2 linked regions of the Xenopus tropicalis genome follow. The protein of the gene in region 1 interacts with the protein of each later gene in a pairwise test. Links are inferred from orthologs where the notes say so. Each region holds a gene or a part of one and is shown on either strand. Other genes may lie near its edges.

Region 1 (4,403 bases):
TGCTTTTTATGTCATACCTGTTTGGTGATCGATTTTATTAACCCTCCAACAGCAGGTCATTTTTTTTGCCTATAAACACATATCATTTTCAGTTTCAATTACAACATTTACAAATAACTATTAAAATAACTGAAAATGATCAGTAAGTTATTTTAGAAAGATACTTAGAATTGCACTCTAATTTGTTTCTTTGTCTGCAGTTCCCCTCTAATCCAAGTTTCAGTAAACCGTCTCCACCAACACCACTATAGAAAGGAGTAATGTTATTTAGCATCTTCATTAACCTGGTTCTTGCCAAGAAAACCTCTTTTATAATGGTTCCCTATTTGTCCTGCTCATCATTTCCAGTTATTTACTCCTTCTCACTTTCCAAAGACATCAAAGAATTCCTTGGAACTACAAGTACTACCTTTAATGTTTTGTACCTGTAAGACTGCTGGGTATTGCAGTCCTCTGTGCCAATAACTAGTTTACAGAGGCCCTAGTTAATGCTTCAGCAGAAAGAAAGAGAATCTCCAGCCAATAGCTTGCGTTCTGCCATCAGAGCCAGGGACAGGTAAAGGGACCAGCCAGGAGAGGAGAGAGGTGCTGGGAGTTTTAGGGGCTGCCAGTTTGTGTGCCTGCATGTTCTGTGACCAGTGATGTGGAAACATCTAGCAATTTAGGCGCTCCTCAGTCCATAAAAGCCACACAAAGTCTCTGTCCCTTTTCCTTTTAGAGCACACTTCAGTGAGCTGGCAGGAAAATGAAAGGCTACAGAACTTCACTTAAAGTTGTCCATTAACTGGCAAAACACGGGTTAAAAGCAACTCAGAATTCATAAGGAACCCTGCGTCTCCTTTTACTGTAGATTTCTCCTGATCAGGATGGCTCATAGGCTGCATCCCAGGATCACACTGGCTGCTGGGATCCTGCACACACTCCCTCCAGGGAACAGTAGGAGGCAACTCCCAGCAGGCTGAACACTGCAATGTTTCCCCTTGCAGATTAATAGCAGTTTCTCTGGCAGGTCACAGAATAAGCTGGAACACAAACTGGCAGCCCCTGAGTCTCCCAGCACACCTCTCCTCTCCTGGCTGGTTCCTCTTCCTGTCTCTGGCTCTGCTAGCTGGACTCAGACTGTCCCTCTGATGATTGGCTGGAGAGTCCCTTTCTTCCAGCAGAGTGAAACAGTAACTAGTTCCTCTGTAAACTGTAATGGATGGCACAGAGGACTACAGTACCCAGCAGTCTTACAGGTACTAAGCATTAAGGGTGCTACACTTAGATTAACTGAATTTCCTGTCCCTGTAATGGAACTATATTTAGGGACGAAAACATTAAATCAGAACAATTTGTAACAGAAGGAAAGAATTTTGGAGCTGAGCAAGCGGGTGAGGAACAGGAGAATAGGAGGGGTTAGAAGAAAGGAATTTGCATTTCATAAGAGCTTTGACCAATGAAATTGTACTGGGCGTGGTTATGGTGATTGGAGCTTTTGCAGGGAGCATGCGTCCATGAGCGGGTAACAAAGCAGATTGCCAGTCACATTATTTGCTGGTAGCCAGATCAGGGCACATCTGCTGGAAAGCTTTGAAGCTGGATTGTACTATCTGAGAGCTGAGATCGTTGCAGGCTCTGAGTGACACGCACAATCGCTGGGTTTGCACATACAAAATCGTGGAATTTAAGATCAGATTGAGCTGTGTGAGCCCCTCTTCTGCTGAGAGCCGTAAGTACATGCATTTCCCTGGAAAGGTTCGGCATCCTGTGCTTGGCAGGCTGGGCCAATAGATTGAATGAATTGGGGTGGCATTTCATGTCGATTTTGAGGAAGGAGAATGGATGGGTGGTTGTGGGCAGTGGCTGCAACACAACCGGGGTCCTGGCATCTCACCAGCTGACTGTACTGTCCCACGGGGTCCAACACTGGGTGCCAGGAGATTCCCAGCTGTGCGCTCTGAGACGCATCCCTTTGCTAATCACAGTGCCGGGCATTTCAGTTAATGCTGAACCTGCGATCTTCCTTCCAGCTCCTAGCATGGTATCAGGGGATGCTGGGGGCTGTAGTTTCAAAGGTTGGATGGTCAGGACATTAACCCTTTGCTAGACAGAGACCAGCGCTTCTCTCTCTATGCAGAATTCAGAGAAGCTTCTAAAGTGTCTGGTTCTGGGATTTTATGCCGTTTGCTTGAGCCACGGAATCAATACTTTTCCTTTATGTCTTAGCTGGGCCTATGTACATGCTGACTAACAGCTCTCTCTGCTAAATTCATCTATTGCTGCTGTGTGGCTTTAAACTATCTCACCCATGCAGATACCATCCTAATATGTATGTGTACACCCACACAAATTCCATTCACAGTATACCTCTGCCAGTGTACACACCCACATAGATGTGCCACATTGTGCAAACCCATGTGGATATCTCCTCCATGTACATTTCCATGATTCAACGTCAAAGTGAACTTCACCAATACCTATGACATCTAGTTTGTACCCCTATACTCCACCCATTATATGCACCCACATGGATTTTATCCGAATATGCATCTTCCAGCAAACATACCCACAAACATACCTTTTAATATATACATCTGAAAATGTACTCACCAAAACAATCTCAATTATATACACACATATAAAGTTCACTGAATGCACAGCACTTGATTTTTAAAATGACAGTTTTATTGCAGAGTCATCTCTTAACTAAAATAATTCATACAGGCAACGTTAATTCAGCCCTTCCTCAAGCCAATATATATATATATATTAGTTTTTCCCACATATGCATTTTACTTTATACTCATACACAGATATCATCCATAGATTCTCACAAATGTACATGTACACTTCACAGATTTACTCTACATGTGGATTTCCTAATGCACACATGCAATCTGCATATCCATCTGTCTGTAACCAACCAGCCAAATTACTTTCACATATACATCCCCTAATTAAAACACCTGTAAGATTTCATTTGGTGTCATGCACTGTACATATTCAGGTGAATCTGATTCAAATATACACCTAGTGCAAACAGCTCACAATTAACTTTTTTTTAGCATTAGGATGTACCATATAATATAGGTATATATACAGCCAGATTTCTTTGCATACTCATCCCCAGTGTACATTAATTTTGTGTACATACACAGCTACTTCACTTTTCAAACACGCATGCAAAGTGTGCACTACCAGACTCTCTGCTTCCACCTGGTCTGTTTATATACACAGCTGGGTTACTTGCACATATATGTGTAAGAAAGTTTATATTGATATTTGTAACACCATGTCACTACATTAAATAGATGATTATCTAATTGTTACACTCAAAGAAATGCAGTGATATGTTATGATTGCTTTCTTATATTATGCCTTCAAGGGTAGGTCTGGCAAGTTTTGGCTTAGCTGGCAAGGAAAATTAATTGGCCCTTAAGCCAGTGGCACTAGCCCAGACCATGGCCAACCCATTAAGGATCATTTTTCAAACCCATACAGTATAATAGTTTTGCGACTCAAACATTAATGTTTCAGCAAATGTCTCCCTTTTTCAGCCTTCACTTTTGTGTCTCCTAGTATATACACATAAATGCATTTTAACTGCACATATACATCTCCCAGTTACACACCCAAGCAAACATGAAAATTTAAAGGCCCACATGAAGCCTAACCCTTGGATACGTTTCCAATTGTACACTGGCAGACTTCCTGTAGTGTGTACTAAGTAAAGGAAATGCTTGCTCCTCCCCTGAATTGTATATGAGCTTGGCTTTTAACAATCTGTTTTCTTGGATACTCTCTAAGACAATGCTAATTTAGCAGTTTAAATTACAGTGTTAGATGCACCCAGAGGACAAAAGTTTACCCCATATGTAATGACTGGTGCAATGTTTGCCCAGGTGCAGTAACCAATATCAACTAATATACCTTAACTGTGCCCATATACATAACTGTTATTGTGCCCACTCACTTCAACTAAACTTTACTCAAATACATACCACACCTAGATTTTTCCTTAGATACCATACAGTGTGCGCACTTACCCAGTATTTGGCCATCTAAATAGCTCACAGCATGCCCTCTTATCCAGACTTTACCCATCTGAATACCTCACAATGTGACTGTTCACCCAGGGATTACATTTACAGCATTCCCTCACACCAAAATGTTACCGTTATGAAAAAAAAGTGTCCTGTTACCCATAGACATATCTCATAGTTTACCTAATCACACAACCAAACAATCAAACACCTAAGCACCCAGATGTTTACTTCATACACCTTTACCAAGGCATCTTTATTGCTCTCTAATGCATCAATATTCTAGTGCAATACTTCAGGAATAGTTTACTCCCTATAAAAAAATATGCTAGTACAACCACTGCCCATCCCCCTTATATATTATATATACAAATCTCC
Region 2 (4,248 bases), on another chromosome or scaffold:
CAAAACTGGCTTCCATTATCAGCCCTCCACAAAAGTTGGACAGCACTGACTTACTGCTTACACAGGCCAGTGTGGTCATTAGCCAACCAGAGTTGTCCTTTTCCCTCCAATGAGATTCTAGGAAACTAGCTTACCGGAGCACATCATGTATGGCTATTGCCAGTAAATAATCCGACTTTAAAAATAATTAGAGCCTGGCACAAACAGATGGAAAAAAAGCAGATGATTCTCACCGATGCATTTCCTGTTTTTATAGAAAGTTAACACTCCATGCCATGTGTCCAGGTGCACTCCAATAATGGAGCCTTGGCCAAAGCGTGAGGAGAAGTTGCTTTTGTCTCCCTTGTGCTGGAGAAGGCCTAATAGAAAGTAAAATTAATTGATTTTTATTGAATTGTTGCAGTGTAACAGATCTCAAGATATTCTAATCAGACTTAATTGGCCCTTAATGTCCAGTTTATCCTGGCCCTAAGTACTGCGCAGTTTGATCTACTGTACACAAAGGGGTACTGGGTTTGCAATCTGGAAGACTAACAAAAGTGCAACTGGATCATTAGTGAGAGTTCTAGTGACTTAAGGTGGCCATACACAGGTAGATTTCAGCTGCTGATTCGCGTCCTTTACACTGAGTCGGCAGCTTATCTGCCCCTGTATGGGGACCCCCGACGGCCCTACCTGACCAATATCTGGCTGAAAATTGGCCAGGTATCGATCAAGTAGGTTTGATTTTTAAGTCAGATCGGGGCCACAGCATCAGCTCATTGGTTTAGGGGGAACAGTTGCTTGTTTGGTGACCTTGCCAAATGAGCGAATCCTACTGTGTATGGCCACCTTTAGAATGAAACAGTGCCTTTTGCATCTAACTGGTGAATGAGGCCTGCTACAAAGGCACATTTGAAATTTCCAAACTTATGCAGAAATTGTACCTTTTTTTATTGCAACAATTTACCTGTGTAAGAGAGTCCCCAGCTCTCTGCATCCTTGCCCAAAAGGCTGCAAAACGTGTGACGATATTTATCTAGGTTCACATCGGAAGTCCCAATGCCAACCATCTAAAAGTAAAAAGCACAACAGCAATGACACTCTTGATAATTCCATGCTCCCTTCATTGTGGCAAAAGTTTGGGGAAGGCTCTTTTCTGTTTCAGCATAATACTGCCCCCATGCGCAAAGCCAGGTCCGTACAGATTGATTTTGCTGAAACGGGAATGGATTTCTCATACAGGAAAGCTAAGTATTATGACATAGTTTTCCTAGGAGGATTGTCAAAGCAGAAAACGTGTGTGTGTGTTGTATTTGCACTATATATTTATGGATACTTTCATACTTTTAAATGAAAAGGAAAGTCTATTTCACTATTTTTTTTCCACGGTTTTCTTCAACTGAGACCACTGGACCAGGAAAAAACTTAAGGGGTTATGTAATAAAAGTTTGCACAGGAGCAGTAACCCATAGCACCTGTTTAGAAGCCAACATCTTATTAGCTGATATAGGTTACTACTACTGGGCAAACATAGTGCCTTTTATTACATATAGGTGTTAGACTACTTGCAGTAAAACAGATGGCTAAAGTTGTTCTTGTCCTTGTTTTTTATGCAAAATGGGTTAATTTTTTTTCTTTGTACTTTTTCATGTAAAGGCAATGCTAAGCACCCAGTGTTGTTTGGGAACACAATCACATAACCTTGACTCTGTGCAAGAGGAAAGCCTTTTGGTACATACCATATCTGTGCCATAGACTGGGGATGTCATCTTGATCTCCCAGAAGTGCTGCCCTTCGGTGAGCATTCTGTTGCCGCGTATGGCCGCGGTGCCGCAGCTGTACTCCATGTGGAAACTGACCTTCCGGTTGTCACAACTCAGTACGGTCGCCGTGGATTTACTGCAATCATCCCACACCCAGTCGAAGTCTATAAGTAAAGAAAGAAATGAGATGTTGGCTAGGGGATGTACAAAGGGGATGTATAGGAGAAGAGATTTCAGTTTGCTTTTGTTCTTACAGTTGTCTTCCTCTCCACACTGGCAGCTCTTGATCTGATGGAAAGTGTGCAGGCTGGAGCAATAGGGATCATTCTGACTGTCGCAATCGCAGTACGACTCTCCCGTCACAGGCACAGCGCTAGGGATGGAGGGGGGCAAGTGAAGCAGGTCTGTGTCAGAGTCACTGTTACTGTGCTGCAAAGAGAGAGTTTGCCTTTTACAATCATCAGTCTAAAACATGTTGCAGGCTTTATATTTTAGTCTTTTCCAATTATTTTACTAATTGCTTGGCAGTTCTGCATTTTGGAATTTACTCTGCTATCTAGTTGCTAAGGTCCAACTTTCCATAGCAACCAGGCTGCGGTTTAAGGAACAGACAGGAAGATGAATAGTATCAAATGGTTTTTGTATCAATAAAAGTCCAATCTCATGGCTGATCTGCTTTCTTGTTGCCGACAAGGTAAGGGTCAAACCATATACAGCTATGGGACCCATTATCCAGAATGATTGGGACCTGGGGTATTCCAGATAAGGGGTCTCTCTGTCCCTTCTGATCTCCAGAACTTAAGTCTAACATTAAATAAATTCAATAGGATTGTTTTGCCACCAATAAAGATTAATTATATCTTATATCTATTTGTACAAGGCACTATTTTATTATTATACAGAAAAAGAAAAATATTTGTAAAAATTAGTATTATTTGTTTATAATGGAGTCTATGGGAGATGGCCTTCCTGTAATTCAGATAATTTCTGGATAACAGATCCCACACCTGTACCATGGCCCCCTAGTAACTCTCCCTTGTTGGGCCCAACAGCAATTTACACTTGCCCTTATGTAACCTGCATAACAGCCTGTGCCTTTTTCTCACTATGGAACTCCTTGGTGACTTATAATATCCTTATAATTTACCATCGGGGGCATAGTATTCACTATCTATTGAATTCCAAGATTCCTTGCACTTACCTGACCATCAGAGTCATAACCCCATGCTTCCTCCTCTGCTGGTAAGGTTGGAGAGCGGGCATCCTGATCCCTGCGCACACCACTAAGAACGAAACGCCAGGCACGGCTGTTACGTGGACGACGTGCCATCCTGTGTTATCTGGGGAGCACCTGCAGGGAACACAAAGCCTTGGGATCAGAGAAAACCAATATATTTCTCAATAAAGCAAAGGCACATAGGAGGGGGGGAATTCAAGTCATTTTGTTGTCCAAGCAACTTACAGTACCTGGTGGGCAGGTGGGTGACAGAACACAAAGAATCACCCCTCATTCATTTAGTGTCAGTGGCCTGACCTGTGAGTTTCTGGCCAATTCCAACAGAAATAAATGAGGGTTTTGTGAGTGAGTTTATTATATCTGCAAATCTGTATTTGGCCATCAGTCACAATCAGGCTGGCCTCTGTCTGTGGTACCTGCCCAATCCCCCCCCCCTCCCTGCCAGGCTGGCCTTTGTGGTACCTGCCCAATCCCTTCCCCCCTGCCCTGTCAGGCTGGCCTCTGTCTGTGGTACCTGCCCAACCCCCCCTCCCTGCCAGGCTGGCCTCTGTCTGTGGTACCTGCCCAATCCCCCCCTCCCTGCCAGGCTGGCCTCTGTCTGTGGTACCTGCCCAATCCCTCCCCCCTGCCCTGTCAGGCTGGTCTGTCTGTGGTACCTGCCCAACCCCCCCCCCCTCCCTGCCAGGCTGGCCTTTGTGGTACCTGCCCAATCCCTTCCCCCCTCCCTGCCAGGCTGGCCTTTGTGGTACCTGCCCAATCCCTTCCCCCCTGCCCTGTCAGGCTGGCCTCTGTCTGTGGTACCTGCCCAACCCCCCCTCCCTGCCAGGCTGGCCTCTGTCTGTGGTACCTGCCCAATCCCCCCCTCCCTGCCAGGCTGGCCTCTGTCTGTGGTACCTGCCCAATCCCTCCCCCCTGCCCTGCCAGGCTGGTCTGTCTGTGGTACTTGCCCAATCCTTCCCCCCCCCTGCCCTGCCAAGCTGGCCTCTGTCTGTTGTACCTACCCAATCCCCCCCCTCCCTCCCTGCCTGCCAGGCTGGTCTGTCTGTGGTACCTGCCCAATCCCCCCCCCCCTCCCTGCCAGGCTGGCCTCTGTCTGTGGGTCCTGCCCAATCCCCCCCTCCCTGCCAGGCAGGCCTCTGTCTGTGGTACCTGCCCAATCCCCCCCCCCCTGCCTTGCCAGGCTGGTCTGTCTGTGGTACTTGCCCAATCCCCCCCCCTGCCCTGCCAGGCTGGTCTGTCTGTGGTACCTGCCCAACCCCCCCCCCT

What was found.
Region 2: the proteins of numbl (region 1) and spsb3 interact in binary tests that used the Homo sapiens proteins (3 or more experiments, as listed by UniProt). The two-hybrid records come from large-scale screens. The link is inferred for Xenopus tropicalis from reciprocal best matches to the Homo sapiens genes NUMBL and SPSB3.

Annotation. Positions count from the first base shown.
Region 1 is NC_030684.2:78,385,658-78,390,060, reverse strand, and holds the start of numbl (numb-like protein), read left to right. Parts: upstream 1-1,295; 5' UTR 1,296-1,711; intron 1,712-4,403. UniProt on the Homo sapiens protein: Plays a role in the process of neurogenesis. Required throughout embryonic neurogenesis to maintain neural progenitor cells, also called radial glial cells (RGCs), by allowing their daughter cells to choose progenitor over neuronal cell fate.
Region 2 is NC_030685.2:21,435,370-21,439,617, reverse strand, and holds the start of spsb3 (SPRY domain-containing SOCS box protein 3), read right to left. Parts: upstream 3,099-4,248; 5' UTR 3,076-3,098; coding exon 2,947-3,075; intron 2,175-2,946; coding exon 2,000-2,174; intron 1,910-1,999; coding exon 1,722-1,909; intron 1,053-1,721; coding exon 950-1,052; intron 360-949; coding exon 234-359; intron 1-233.